Linked DNA regions of Lonchura striata. The protein of the gene in region 2 interacts with the protein of the main gene of each other region in a pairwise test. Links are inferred from orthologs where the notes say so. Each region holds a gene or a part of one and is shown on either strand. Other genes may lie near its edges.

The links. The genes of interacting proteins can lie anywhere in the genome.
Region 1: the proteins of PACSIN1 (region 2) and EHBP1 interact in a two-hybrid assay, tested with the Homo sapiens proteins (2 studies listed by BioGRID and IntAct). The link is inferred for Lonchura striata from reciprocal best matches to the Homo sapiens genes PACSIN1 and EHBP1.

What each region holds. Positions count from the first base shown.
Region 1 is NC_134605.1:653,033-660,159, forward strand, and holds the start of EHBP1 (EH domain-binding protein 1), read left to right. Parts: upstream 1-4,077; 5' UTR 4,078-4,156; intron 4,157-7,127. UniProt on the Homo sapiens protein: May play a role in actin reorganization. Links clathrin-mediated endocytosis to the actin cytoskeleton. May act as Rab effector protein and play a role in vesicle trafficking.
Region 2 is NC_134632.1:4,264,170-4,272,023, reverse strand, and holds the start of PACSIN1 (protein kinase C and casein kinase substrate in neurons protein 1), read right to left. Parts: upstream 3,060-7,854; 5' UTR 2,908-3,059; intron 1-2,907. Other genes in the region: RPS10 (small ribosomal subunit protein eS10), read left to right, coding at 4,685-4,834, 5,429-5,600. UniProt on the Homo sapiens protein: Plays a role in the reorganization of the microtubule cytoskeleton via its interaction with MAPT; this decreases microtubule stability and inhibits MAPT-induced microtubule polymerization.

The DNA of each region.
Region 1 (7,127 bases), on a different chromosome or scaffold from region 2:
GGCCAGGAAAATGCTGGCTGGGAAAAAGATGTGGGATGTGCCCAAATAAGAAGAGTCTGGAAGGAGTTTGTGATGGTCTGTTATTTCACTATTAGCTAGGAGATGTGAAATTTCCTTTTCCAGATGAGCACATTTCGTGTTTTGCATAAGAGAGCAATTGCTTCTTGTAAGACTTAGCATTTCTGCTAATTTAATGAGCTATCCATACAAATGGACTGCATTAGTCATTGGACAGACCTTTTTCAAGTTCCACAAGCATGTTTTAGACCTCTTGATAAAGCCAGTAGCATGCTGGACTTCCACAAGCAGAAAGACCTCCCAAAGTATGCAAGTTATTCCTGGCATGTTGTATTCTCAACTTGTCAAGGAAACATGGATTATTTTTTACACAAACAGGCAAATCAAAATGGTTCCTTAGCAAGCTCCCATAAACATTCTTGGACCCTGAGAAGGAAAAGAATAAAGAAAAGTAAGGAAAAGAATTGCTTCTGAATTAGGTTTCTTAGATGGACGTGTTGTCACACATTCAGAAGTCCATTTGCACCAATTTGGACCTATGATGAATGGTGGAGGGAGTGAAGGATAAAATAGAAAGAACAAACAAGGGCATTAATTAATCTGGATATTCTATACTTGAGTGGATTATTTTTTCTTTTTTGCCCATACTGTGAATTTATCTTCAAATGTAGACTGAGATGAACCGCAAACACTTTTGGAAGTTCTTTTAATAGCTGTTGATTGAAAGGTGATGTGAAGGTGCTGAGAGGGAAAGGATCTCTGGAGCTGAGTGGGCCAGTGTGGAAAGGACAGGCCAACATCTTGCTGGAAACCACAAAGCAGCACAGCAGCAAAACCCCTGGAGTGCCCTCAGCTCCCCTGACACTTTAGCACACAAATTTGGCCTTAGATCTCACAAACACTGGAGCTTTTTTGAAACTGCTTGTGAAGGATTACAAATGCTGAGTGCAGTTTCTAGACAAAGACAGTAAGATATCACAGCTCTGGCCCTAGCTCGGTGTTTTATGTCTGAGCTTGTGTTACCGTGTAGGGTCCCTATGCATTAAAATGCCTCAGCCAAAACCCAGTTCTGACACTCACCAAATAATCCTGTGATTTACCACAATCCTGTGATTATGGTAAGACAATAAAAAGTACTGCCTGGCCTCAGCATTTTTCCCATTTCAGTGTAAAGAACTGTTTTTCCACACAGTGAAGGGATTTTTAACAGAAAAGAGGTGTAAAGCATGCATAAACAGTGACACTTAATGTGCATCCTCATCCATAGCTCCTTCTGTGGGTCGTGTGGTTCCATGCCATCCTGGTTCCATGCTCATGCTCAAATTCAGGAACAGCTCCTGCTGCTTGGGCTTGGTGCAGACTCAGCCAGCAGCCTTGAGCTTCATTTTGGCCCAGCCACTGCCATTAATGCAATGGTACCAATAACTATCAATAATGATACCTTCACTCGGTGGGAGGGTGCTTTTATTACAAGTACTTCATCCCAGGAGAAACAGAAAAGGGGAAGAGGGGACTTTTGTGCAGCCAAAACCTGCAGCAAGTGGGTGCTGCTGGGTTTGGTGCTGCAGGGCTGGGGCCTGGCTATGAGCATCCCTGGGGTCCCTTCCAGCCCAGCTCATCCTGGGAGCTGGACATGAGCATCCCTGGGGTCCCTTCCAGCCCAGCTCATCCTGGGAGCTGTCAGTGGCTCCTCACCACAGGGACACAGCTGCTGTGTGAGGTGCATTGTGGCTGCAGGAAATCAAAGTTCACACTGCCTCCTTCTCTGTTTTCCTTCTATTTTTCTAACCTTACACCTCAAATTTGCCCTCTCTCCTCTGACAGGCCTCAACAAGAAGCTTTGAATGTGGTGACAGCAGTGAGAGAAAATAAGACAAGTACCTCCAAGATGTAAAAAATACTACTGTTACTTCCTATTGTTCATCTGAATCTCCACTCCTGAGAACGTGAGTTAAATCCTAAATTTTCCTTTCTTTTTAGGCAGAATATCCAGCAAGTTATAAAAACAGCATCACAAGGAGGTCCTAAGATGGGGCTTGCTCCAGTTTTCCTGCTGAGCATGTGTTTAGGAATTGCTGCTAAAAAAAAGTCAGAGAGGATGGTAGTTCTGTGCTGTCACATGGCCTGATACAGCACAGAATCTGCTTAGCATTCCTGAAGGGAAATTACCCAGTGCTGCAACTCACAATTTATAATTGGTTGCATATTAATAGCTAAAAAAGGCAATAAAATCCGCTGTGCGTTTAAAAAAAAAAAAATTGTAAGCAGGAGTATTACAAGCTGAGCAGTGAAAATCTGGAAGACTTCTTGGCTGGAGCAGGGCTGTGTGCAGCGTTGTTTCTCCTGTATTAATTACAAGCAATTTTAAATCATCTCCTTCCTTCAAGGAAGGATTTTGTTAATTTTAATCTTGCTGGCGTGATACTCTCTTGCAACCTCTCCCTTGTGTCATAATAGTGAGACATGCTGCCTCTTTTGTCCCTGCCCTTTGGGAAACACAGTTACTGCTGCTCATTGCCTAACCCTGCTGTTGTGACCATCAGTACACCTCCCTTGAAAGGAAAAGAAACTAAAACTCAGCAGCAGGATTGTTCTTCCCTGCTCCGAGTTCACTTTTATTTGTTGTATTTAAGATAGATTGTGTGAGTGCCTCAAGAAAATTGGGGGTTTAAAATGTATGGTGCTGTATTAGAGTAGAAAGCTTGTTATTCAGCACACTACTTATTTCTGAGTCACTGTATTTATAAAATGTCATGTAATAACTACTTCACCACCATGAAAAATAAATAGTGCAAAAGCAGGCACTTTATGATTTTGACATTTTGGTGTATAAACATATTCCCGAGTCTCTCTGGGGGCTACTGGGAATCTGATCATGTTTTTATGACATCTAAAAAAAATGACATTGCATTTCCTAATCTGTAACACTCCATATGCATCGTTAGTGCTGAGCATTTTATTACAGCCTCAGTGGCTTATACTGCAAGTGTCAGCTGCAAAGAGAAAACCCACAAAGCTGGGGCTGTGGAACTGGGGGGGCACGAGAGGGTAAAGCCTTGCAGTGCACACCTCAAAGCCTGTGGGCCACCTGCAATGGCAGATCCCAGGCAGATCTGCTGGGACACCAGAATTCCCCTGCAGCTTTTCTCATTTCAGGATGGATTGCAAAGCCCTTGCTGAAGGAGGGCCTCCTGCTCAGACTTATCTCTAGAGGGTAAGTGAGGCTGGGGTTCTGTGTGAATGACCTGTTAACTCCAGAGTAACTGGGACACCTCGAGTGACACTCTGGGAGGGAGTGCAGAGGGGAAGGAGGATGGGCTGCTGCCCCAGGTTCTGAGTGGTCCTGCATGGTCCCTGAGAGCAATGGTGGATGCTTAGCAGAATGTGCGACTTCAGAAAATGCTGTGCCTGAACCCAGGCCTTCTGTGCTCCTCTGCAAAGCCTGCTTGGTGTTACTTAAGTTGTGAGTCATTTACTCAAATGCTGGGAGAAGTGTCTTTTGAAATAAGTTATCCAGCACTTTTTGGGAAAGGAGCAAGGGGTGAGGAAGCAGTCACAGCTTCAGAAAAACTCAAATTTGTCACGAAAATGACAGTGAGAAATGAAAATGGGAGGAAGCCATTGCTGCTGGTGGGTGATGGTGTCAGTCCTCCCCTTTCTGACACAGTGCAGGACAGCAGCCTCTTGCCAGAGCTGCTCCACGTGTACGTGAGTACAGAACTGGCCCCTGACCTGTGGGGATTCCTCTGGAATCCTCTGATTCCTTCCCCCTCAGGGAAATCCCAGGGCCCTCCCTTGGACACTTAACCACAGAGTTCTGCCCACCTGGGCTGATAGAAAGCTCTTCCTCATGGGCTTTTGCTTAACACTGATCATCCCAGTTCCTTTCCCCATATGTCCCACCTACCCTGGTTTCCCTTTCCCTGTTTCCTCCTGGCTTGTGGTACCCCTTCCTCCCTGAAAGCCGACACCCTCTGCCCTGCCCTTGGTACCGCCCCCATCTCTTCCCCTACTTAAACCTCGTGCGGAGCACCTGATTTCTCTTTTGTCTCTGGTTCCCTTTTGGGGTGCTGAAGTAAACCTCGCTGAACTGGCCATACAAGAGGCCCATCTGCCTCTCTTCGCTGAGCTAGCCAGGGTAAGTGTGCTGTGTGTGGACTTGACTGCCTTCCTGGGTGCTTCCCCGAGTGGCTTTTCCTCAGGAGATGCTCATTGGGAAATGGGTAGCAGCAGCCACCACCTAAACCCCCATGCTGCTGTGGCTTCCTCTGAATTTACAGCAGCTGGCAGGCTGAGGTGACACATCCTCTCCTCAGTGCTTTCTTCACCTGTTGGCATTAAAAAATTACAAGGAGCGTGGAGTGTGATCTACCATACATTTTGCTGGAAGTGGTGAAATTATTTATCCTTTTCACATTGGGATAGACTGGTTATCCTTAGAACAATCAGCCCCCTGAGCTGGTAGGCAGGGAGCAGAAAAGACCCCCTGTGATGTAGCAGAAGGTAGGTGGTGACCTGCTGTGCCACTTAGATGCTCACAAGTGTGTTGGGCAGAATGGGATTTCCCTGAAGCACCGAGGGAGCTGCTGGGAGGGCTCACCAAGGCACTCCCCATCCATCATTCCCCACCAGCCCTGGCTGTCCCTGAGGTCCCGGGTGACTGGAGGTTGCTCAGATCTTGGGTGTGAGCACAGGGCACTCACAGCACAGGCAGGGCATCAAGGACAGCCAGGATGGGCTTAGGAAAGGCAGCTCCTGTCTGACCAGCCTGATCTCCTTTCATGACCAGCAGTAAGTGCCTTGTTGAACACGGTAACCAATGAGTGGACATGGCACTCAGTGCTGTGGTCTGGTTGACAAAGGTTGAACTTGATGATCTTGGAGGTCTTTTCCAACCTCAATGATTCTACGAGGCTATGATGTTATGTTGTATTTATTTTCTGACTTTTCTATAAATACAAGTAGCTATTAAGAATGTCTCTGACTATTATATCCAAGGATAAGTGTTTGAGATACATGAGAGATACTCAGGGAATTGGTAAATCCTCAGTAAAAAAAAATGTCCTGAGATCAATTTCCTGATTCAGGAGTGAAGTCGTCATAGCATATAAAATGTAATGTGATTGTCCATAGCCCTAATAAAATCTTGAATTTTCCACCAAGCCTTTCATCTATAAAAATCAAATTTATCTGGCATTTGTCTGCATTTTGAAAGGGATAGGGATTTTTTGAAATGGATATGATAGTAATCCTTTATGGTACGTTAATATAGCAGAACAATAATTTGTTGCGTTTTCTTCACACAGAAACAATCAGCTTGGAAATGTGCATAATAATTGTCTTTGTCCTTCATTGTCACAGGCTATTAGCTAATGAATTTAAGCTGTACTTGGCTCTTGCTCCAATAAGAAAACTACATTAGAGATCTTGTAGCCTTGGTATTATATAAAACCTTTCAGTGGGTTTTATTTTAGTCTCGCTGAGGTGATGTTGCCGTGGGCTGAGGAATGCATCTCAATTTTGTGGTGAGCAGTGAGGTCAGCATGGATTGATGTAGTGGGTCAAGCAAGCTGAAGGACATCTATAGCTACTGAAGCTGCCAGGTGCCAGACCCTCTTTTTTTGGTTCCTTATACTTTAGCCAAACTTTTCATGCCTGCTTCTGTGACAGTTTCTGGTTCATCTTTTGGCTGGGAGGATTTGCTCAACTCATTCCAGTATTACCAAGATTCATAATAGGAAAAATAAGTAGTTTGGGCAATGCTTTAAATAAACAACAGGCTCACGTTGAGTTGCTCAGTTTTACTGCCTATACAGTTTGCCCACTCAACAAAGAGGCTGGCAAAAGAAAATCCTGTGATGGAAGAAGTGCCTGAGCAAACAGGAGCTGTTGCTGCTGCCCTGGACACAGGGACCTGTGTGGGCATTGCTCTTTGGGATGCCAGCTGCTGCAGCCTCCAAGAGGCACTCCCTGTGCCCAGCCACGCTGGGACACACCAGGCCCCCCGTGACTCTGCCCTTGTCCCCAGCTGTGTCACACTGGGGAGTGACACCCCATTCCTGCTGCTTGCAGGAAAGAAACAACCCATGAGTTCAGTTGGGTTGCTGCCACCTTTGGGCTGCCAGAATGGTGTGCAGAACAGCAGGAGCATAAGGCAAAATCCATACCACTGTCATTTGTGTTTGGCATCTTATGAGAAAAAAGGACCTGAAACTTCTGGGCATTACTTTGTATCTGAGCTTTTAGCTCATGGATGTCTTGGAAGGACAATGGATGGTCAGTGTGGGATAAATGTCTGCTGCAGGCAATCTCAGTAGAACATTGTTCCTCAACATCATTCTGTGCCTGTTCAGGGATTATTGCTTCTGCACAAGCCGTGACCCACAGCAGTCAAGAGCTGGCTGCGGAAAACATGGTCAAGTTTTGCTGTGTCCTGCAGACAGAGATGACCCCAGGCAGCTGGCAGTGCAGGGTGCAGCACCTGCAAAGTCCTGTGAGAAATGGGTTGGGATTGCCACTCCTGTTAACAGGCACCATTTGCTTCCTTCCCTCTTTTCATCTCCAAACCCGGACTCTGAGCTTTCCATGGCCTGCAGCCCCACATTTGGCTGTCCCATGTGCCTCCTCATGTTTTGATGGATAGTGCAGGAGATGTTCTGAGTGCTATGCCCCAAGGCAGGGTGCACAATGAGCATTGCTGGTGGCAGAAGCAGTGGCTGGAAAGCTTTGATGCTCCGAGGTGTGCAGGGGGCAGGTGCCAGGTAGCAGCAATCACCCGTTTTCCTAAACCAGCAGCACTTAGAGCCCTTCTGACAGAGGTTGACTCACCAGAAGTAAATTCAATATGCATGAAAGGACTCTTGTTCTTCCTCAGTGGAGAGCATAAAGACATACTGTCAGACAAATTAATCTCTCTCTGATAATTTTCTTTTCAACATCATTGAACTGTCATTTCTCCTGGGCTTTGCCAGAATGTTTGATATATCCGTTGTTTTCCAAAAACAGACAGATTCTGCTAGCTTGGCTGATACAGGAATTCCTGCCAGGAAAAGAGATGCTGAGATGCCTCTACCAGCCTTGTGCTGTTGTTGTGCAGGTCCTTTGCTGAG
Region 2 (7,854 bases):
AGGCGAGTAACCGAAGCCGCTGCAGAAGCCGCAGTAATGAGGCTGCCGGGGCCGCTGCCGCCGGGATCGGGTTGCCCAGAGAATGCGACCCGGTCCCGGGGGGCTCTGCCGGCCTCCGACGCCGGCTCAGCTTTCCCCTAACAAGCTCCTTCGACTGCCTAATGAAGCTCGGTGGGGCTCTGCAGCCCGCCTGCCTCCCGGCTCCTCGCAGCTCCGTGCCACCCGAGCCAGCCCCCATCAGGGCCAGCCAGAACAGCCCCCGGAAGGTTTCACGCCCTGCTGCAGCTGGGGTGACACCTCGGAGATTTAATGTCCCCAGTCCCAAAGAGGAGTGGGATGGACGCTGGTTCCTTTAGGAGCGGGGGATCTTTGCCTGTTGGCGTTTCAGAGGGTGCTGAATATCTGGTCATGGTCCTTCCAAGCAGTGAGTTGGCAGTTCTCAGCACTGGGATGTCCCAGGCACCATCAGCATCCCTGCTGCAGAGGGATCCTTGGCATTAAACATCAGGTGACAAACGCTCTCCAGGATGGTGATGGGGGGACCTCAATGACTCGGGGGGTTCCCCAGTGCAAAGAGCCATCGCCACCAGCTTTGTGGTCTGCGCAGGTGGCACCAGCTCAGGTCTCCTTCCCTGCAGCTTGGGCTGCTCCATGCAGGGAGCAGGTGGGAGCTCTGCCTCCTCAGTTCCTTCACCAAAAACTCGGTCACGACAAACTTTTCCCCGGCTCTCACCATCCCACCGTTTACTGTTTTCAGTGGTAAGTCACTTCTCCTCCTGTAAATGAGTTTCCTTGTGGGAAGCAGCAGACGGTATTGGCAGGAAATAAGCCCTGATTTATGGGGCCACTTGCCGCTCTGGAATTACAGCTCCGTGAGCACAAACGGAGCACAGGAGCCCACACGGTGATCCCGGCGGCTGCTGGAGCCAGAGCAGGCAGGAATGAGGAGATGCCACCAGGAATCAGCCGCCTGCCCATCAGCCAGGCAGGAGTGCCGGCCCTCGCACGAACCGGGGGGGGTTTGAGCGCAGCCAGCTCCCCAGCAAGGAAGGGAAATGTGTTCCCTAAATCCCGGCAGAGCCCCGAGCTATGGGGCTCAGCTGCTTCTGGGAGACACGGGAGAGCCCATGGGCGGTCCAGGGAAGACTGGTGTGGATGGGGGCAGAGGGAATCCCAGGATCCCGAGCCCATTCCTGTCCTCCGCTGCCTCCTCCCAGGGCAGCTGGGGCTCGGGGGGCCGGATGGGGCCAGCGCCCCACGCTCGCCCCATGCCCGGGCTGCGTCGCCGCTGCGGATGTGCCGCCGGTCCCAGGAGCCCTCCGGGGAGCTGGGAGAATACAAGCGCTACTTTGCATCTCTAATTAGCCGCGGAGGATAATTGGCGGCTCTGCGGCAGACAGGCAGCCATTGTGGAGGGCCCCGCGCGGGGCAGGTGCTCCCAGAAACCCAAATCCCACCGAAACAATTCCCTTCTTGTCTGCCTGTGACCGGCCGGGGCATCCTCCGAGCCCTTCCGGGGAAGGGGCTGGGGCCGGGACATAAAGGCTCCATTTTTCCCAGGGAAGCAGCTCGGGGCTGGCTGCGGGCAGCTGCCCGAGGAGCCCGCACATTCCACCCACGGCCACAGCCGTGCTGGGGCTCGCTGCCTCCGGCCCCGCCGGCTGTGCGGGACACAGCCCCTGCAAGCTGCCGGCTTGGAGGCGGCCTCTCCTCCTCCAGCACCATCCGCAGGAGCTCAGCAGGTCCGGAGTTTGCCTTCAAGGTGTTGCACAAACGCCGGCCAGGCTGGCATCCCCGGGACAAAGTCTGTCCCCGTGCCACGCGCTGTGCTGGTGCAGCCTGGCTCTATCCCTGTGCCATCGCCGTGCCCTGGCAGGGACCGGCAGAGCTGGGGACAGGCCATTCCCAGCGAGGGGCATCCCACCCAGAGCCCAGCCCAGGCTCTGGGCTCGGGACAGCCCCGCTCGGTGCTGCCACGCTGTGCTGATGTCCCTTCCCTCGTGGCCCTGCCCTGTGCGCGTCACTGTCGGTCCCTGCCTGTGCCTGGGCTCTCTTCCCTCAATCCTTTCTCGGTTCAATCCCGCTCCCGTCCTGCCGCAGCCCCTCCGGCGGCCGCACACCCCGGGAGAGGAGGGAGAGGAAGCGGCCAGGGGCGACCCCGGGGCAGGCAGCACCTCCAGCACCGGCCGAGCCGCTGCCTGCTGAATTCCCCGATTTTCTCTGTGCTCCTGCAAAGGGAACACAAAACCCCAGGAGGTGGCAGGACTCTCAGGGCTTCATTTTCGGGGTCAGGCGCGCTGGCAGCCGCAGCGGCTGATCTCTGCCGTGCTGCGGCCGCGGCCTTTTGGCTTATTAGGGCTGGGGTTTGCCCGGGGAAGGCGACGCGGGGGCCGAGGGATGCGGGAGCAGCCGGGGAGGCTGCCGGGAGAGCTCTAATCCGTTTAGCGAAGCACTTGCTTTGCCATTTCCAAGGCAGGAGGTGCAGGAGCTGTGATCTGCTGCAGCAGCGACAGCGACAGCGTGTCCGGCCGGCGGGGACAGCTCCTGCTCCGCGGGCCGGGCCGGCTGATGCCGCGATTGTCGCAGCATCCTGCGGGTCACCCTGTGGGACACCTCCGTCCCAAAGGAAGAAACGAGGGGGTGACACCCAGCAAAGCCCCAGGACGGCACCGGGCACCTCCAGGAGCGCGGCGCATCCCTCGATCCCTCCCGTTCCCCGCCCGGCACGGTCCGGCACGGGTCGGGAATCACTTAGAACGGGTCGGGCGCGGGTTGGTTTCCCAAAGCAGGGCGCGGAGCCGGTTCAAACACCGGCGGGGACAGCGCTGTCACAGCGCCCCGGTCCCCGGCATCCCCCTGTGCCCCCCGGGCCAGCCGTGCGCCCCCCGCCCGCCCCGCCGGCCGTACCTCGGGGCCGCGGGGACAGCGGCGGAGCCTCTCCCGGGGCCGGCGCTGCGCATCGCGGGCAGGTCGCGGCAGATGGGGCGGAGGGAGGGGGTAAAGATCAGCTCGGAGATTAGGGCGGCATTTTTAGCCGACCAATCCCCGGCGCGGCGGCTCCTCGGCCGCGCAAGGTGACAACGCGCCCGCCGAGGGGATGGCGATAAACCCCGGGGCGCCGCGGTCCCTCCCGCGGTCCCCGGGCTCCGCTCCGGTGCTCCGAGTGCCCGCGGTGTTCAGGTGTCCGCTCCCCCCGGACCCCACACGGAGCGGGACACGGGAGGGACACCGGGGGGACACGGGGTGCGCCCCAGGGGACACGGCTCCGGTCACAGCCCCGGACGGGGTCGGGGGAATCGCGGCTCCCGGGCCGGTGTGTGCGGAGCAGAGCGCCCCGGTGCCTGCGGGAGCCCCGAGCCCTCGGGCCGGGCTGCGACCCGCGGCTCTCCGGGGTCCCGGGCAGCGCTTCACGGCGGGGGACAGCGGGCACCGCGGGGACTGCGGGTGGCACGGCCGGGGCCGACACGGGTGGTGGTGGCACGGGTGGGGATGCCACGGGTGGGGATGGCACGGCCGGAGGTGACACGGCCAGGGGTGACACAGCTTTGGGTGGCATGGCTGGGGATGGCACGGCCGGAGGTGACACGGCCAGGGGTGGCACAGCTTTGGGTGGCATGGCTGGGGATGGCACGGCCGGAGGTGACACGGGTGGGGATGCCACGGGTGGGGGTGACATTGTCGGGGGTGACACGGGTGGGGATGGCACGGGTGGGGGTGACACGGCTGGGGACGGGGGTGGGGGGGTGACACAGCCGGGGGTGACACAGCCGGGGACGTGGGGGATGGCACGGCCTGGGGTGGCACGGCCAGGGGTGATACAGCTTTGGGTGGCACGGCCGGGGATGGCACGGATGGGGACGTGGGGGATGACACAGCCCCGAGTGACACAGCCGGAACGTGGGGGGTGACACGGCTGGGGATGGCACGGGTGGGGACGTGTGGGAGGCGTGACACGAGTGGGGACGCGGGGGCGGAGGTCACCCGCCGTGCCCCTCAGGCACCGCGGCGGGCAGCCCGTTCCCCGGGCAGGAGGGGGCCTGCTCTCCGCGCAGGCAGCACGGCGGGCGCCCCCTCCCGCCGCCGAGGGGGTCCTTGGCGCGGCGGAAGCGGCGGGCCGGCGCACGCGCAGTCCTTTCCGGCCGGGCCCCGCCGCCGCCGCCGCCACGGTGAGGCCGCGCTCGGGCCATCGGCCGCGCATCGCCGCCATCCCGGGGTCTGGGGGCCCCCCGCCGCACTTCCCCCATCGGGGCTCCACGCCCCGGCTGTGCGGGGAGAAAGGGACCGGCGGCGCCGGGCCGCGGGGTGGGGTTGGGTGTCCGGCGCTGGCACCGGGGCGTCCCACCCCGGCCGCTGCCGCGGGGGTTCGGTCGTGCCCGAGCACGGACAGCCCCGGCCCGGTGGGTCCGGGAGCACCGCCCGTAGCTGATTTCCCGTGCTGGGGGCGCTGCCGGTGTCGGTTCCGGCTCCCGGTTCCCTGGTTCAGTTGCACTTAACGGCGGGGCCAAGCCGGGCTCTCCCCGAGCCTGCCCCACCTTGCCCGGTGTGCCCGACAGCGGGCGGGGGTGCGCGGGATGATTTACGGAGGAAACGCTGGGATTTCCCGGTTTCCCTCCCGGGAAGCGCGTCCCGGGGTGGCCCAGCACGGTTCCCGGTCCCCGAGCCCGTTTTGCTGTGCCCCCTGCAGATGTTGATGCCCAAGAAGAACCGGATCGCCATCTACGAGCTGCTGTTCAAGGAGGGCGTGATGGTGGCCAAGAAGGATGTGCACATGGCCAAGCACCCCGAGCTGGTGGACAAGAACGTGCCCAACCTGCACGTGATGAAAGCCATGCAGGTGGGGGGCTCTGCTGCTGCTGCTGCAAAATTAAACTTCACCATTGTAATGTGAATGAAAAATTAAACTTCATCATTCTAATAAAGATTTGTAGGGAATGGGTATGTTTAGCATGTTGGGACTCATTGCCCTTTAATGGACATAATGCATACCTCTGACAACTCTTGTTGATCTTTTTTTATTTCCTTTACTAATTTCTCTATGCATAGAATTTTACAATAGCTTAATGCATATTCATTCTGCTGATTTCACGTTATACTTACAGTTAGTTACACTTGTACTTAGTTTTTTCTATACTTTCTAACAAAAACTTTTGGGTCACTCTGCCGTGTCTGTTTTAAGATCTTAAGAGTCTTTTTTATCTTTTAGTGTGCAAAAGTGTGTTAGTAGTTTTGCTAGGCTGCAGTTACTAGACTAAATTTATTTAGCATATTTAGCAAGCTCAAAGTGGCACATTTTCTTGAAATCTGAATAGATTTTTACCTTATTCAATTTTCACTCTGTCTCACTGCCTTCTGTCCCCCTTCCCTGCTGAGGAGCTGGGAGAGGCTGGAACTGGGAGGAACTGGGAGTAACTGGGAGCTCTCCCCGCAGTCCCTCAAGTCCCGAGGCTACGTGAAGGAGCAGTTTGCTTGGAGACACTTCTACTGGTACCTGACCAACGAGGGCATCCAGTACCTGCGGGATTACCTCCACCTGCCCCCCGAAATCGTCCCGGCCACGCTGCGCCGCAGCCGCCCCGAGACCGGCAGACCCCGGCCCAAAGGTCAGCTGGGGCTGGGAAACGTGGGGGAAAATTCAAACTCCATCATTTCAATATTTATTTATAGTGCTGGACGCACGTGGGGACTTGTTGTTCTTTAATGGCTCGCTTTTGATAACTTCATTGATTTTTATTGCTCTTATTAATTTCTATACTCATAGAATTTTACAATAGGTTTGTGCATAGTAATAGAATTTTATATAAAAATAGGTTTATGCATATTCATTTTGTTGATTTCGTGTTACATTTCTAGTTAGTTACACTCGTATTTAGTTTTTGTTAGAAAGTATAGAAAGAACTCTTGGGTCACTTTGCTTGTTTAAAGGTCTGAGGAGTCTTTCTTATTTTTTATCTTTTTAGTGTGGAAATTTGTCTTTTTTTTTTTCTTTAGCTGGGGTAGTTTTATTAGTGTTGCAGTTACTAGACTAAACAGCATATTTTACTCAAACCATCTCAACTCAGTACCAAGCTCAAAGCGGTACATTTCACTTAAATCTAAATGGATTTCTAATTTCTACTCTGTTACATTTTTCCTCTCTTTCAGCTGGGCAGCCAGGGGTGGGCACAGGGGGCTGGGCAGCCAGGACAGTGCCAGACCTGTGGGGATTGGGTGTAAAATCGTGAGCAGAGCAAGGAAATGTGGTCGGGGTTTGTGTCCCACCCCAGGGATTGGCCTTCCCCAAGGAATGGGATGGGGATGTGGAGGAGATGTTGGAGCCCCACCTGGGCATCACCTGTGGCCAGTGGTGGGTGTCCCACTCTGCCTTCCCCAGGGACACTGAAGGTGCTCCTGGGACAGGGCTCCTGAAATATTTACCCCCACAGCACCCTGGAGTTGCTAGACAGCCCAGATCTGAGAAGGCTTTGGGGGAATATTTCAGGGGCAAGGTAAAAGATTCCAAAAGAAGCTCTAACCCCCAATGTAGTCCTAGACTTTTATTCTCAAAAGTTTCCAGGGGAGAAAAAGGGAGAACAAGGGAGAACAGAGCCTTGTCTAGACTCCTGCTCATGAAAATATAATTGGCTCTCAGCCAATTAGGTCAAGAAAGGAAGGAAAGGTTAAACTAACATGGTTACAGCTACAGGGGTCTCTGGTGGGGAAAAAGCCATTTCCCACAGGAATACAACCAGGTCCTTGTTTAAGGTGAACAGCAAACTCGTGGTGGAGGAGCAGCAGAGCTCACAAAAATGCTGAGGGGTTTGGAGCACCTCTGTGAGGAGAGACAGAGGGAGCTGGGCCTTGTTAGTCTGGAGGAGAGGAGACAAATCCCCACAGATTTGCCCAGGGCATGTACCAGAGGATGCTGCCAGACTCCCTTCAGCGCTGCCCAGTGGCAGGACAAGGAGCAGTGACCAGAAACTAAAATACAGCAAGTTCCACCTCAGCATGAGGAAGAGCTTCCCACTGGAGCAGCTGGGGGTGTGGTGGTCTCCCTCTCTGGGCACATTCCAGACCCACCTGGACACGTTCTTGTGCCACTGCTCTGAGTGACCCTGCCTTGAGAGGGCTTGAAGAGGGTGAGCTCCAGATCAGCCCCAGCTGCTCTGTGATTCTGTGTGTGGGGCTTGCAGCTCTGATTTTCCCTTGGTGGCTTTTCACACCCCAAGTGCAGGGGGTGCAGCAGACTCTGCTCTGGGGGATCACATGGGTTGTGCTTTTTTGCTTCTGAGCCACTTTGGGGGCCAAGGAGCGCTGGGAGTTCACCCCCAGCTGCTGCAGTTTGTGTCTGAGCCAAACAAAATGGGAGCATCACCTGCTTCAAAGGAAGGAATTGCAGAGAAACTGGGAATACGATGCTTTCTTTGATCTCTGAGTTGCTTGGGTGTTCCAAGATTTGTTCTTTAGATGCTGCGTTTATCCAGTGAGCTTAAAGGAGCTGCATCCCTGCTGGGAGGGAGGGAGGACTGGCAGCTTCTGGCTGGGGTTTGTGCAGGAGGAGCTGTGTGTGGTGTCACAGGATTGTCCTGGTGCTGGAACCCTCCTCAGCCCCCTCTGGGCAGGGATATTTGGAAGGGCTGCACTTGGTGCTCTTTTTTTACTGTGGATGAGGCAGCAGCAGTCTGAGAGCCACAGAGGTGGTGTAGTAAAATAATTATTGCAAGAACTGGGATTTTTATGGCCATACCAATGCATGTGGATGTTCAGGAGGATGCTGGGGTGCATCCTTGGTCCTGCCTGGGTGGGCTCTGCCCAGCCTGGGCTCCAGGCACACAGCCCAGTCCCTGAGAGGTGGTGGTCCCACCACAACTGGGTGTT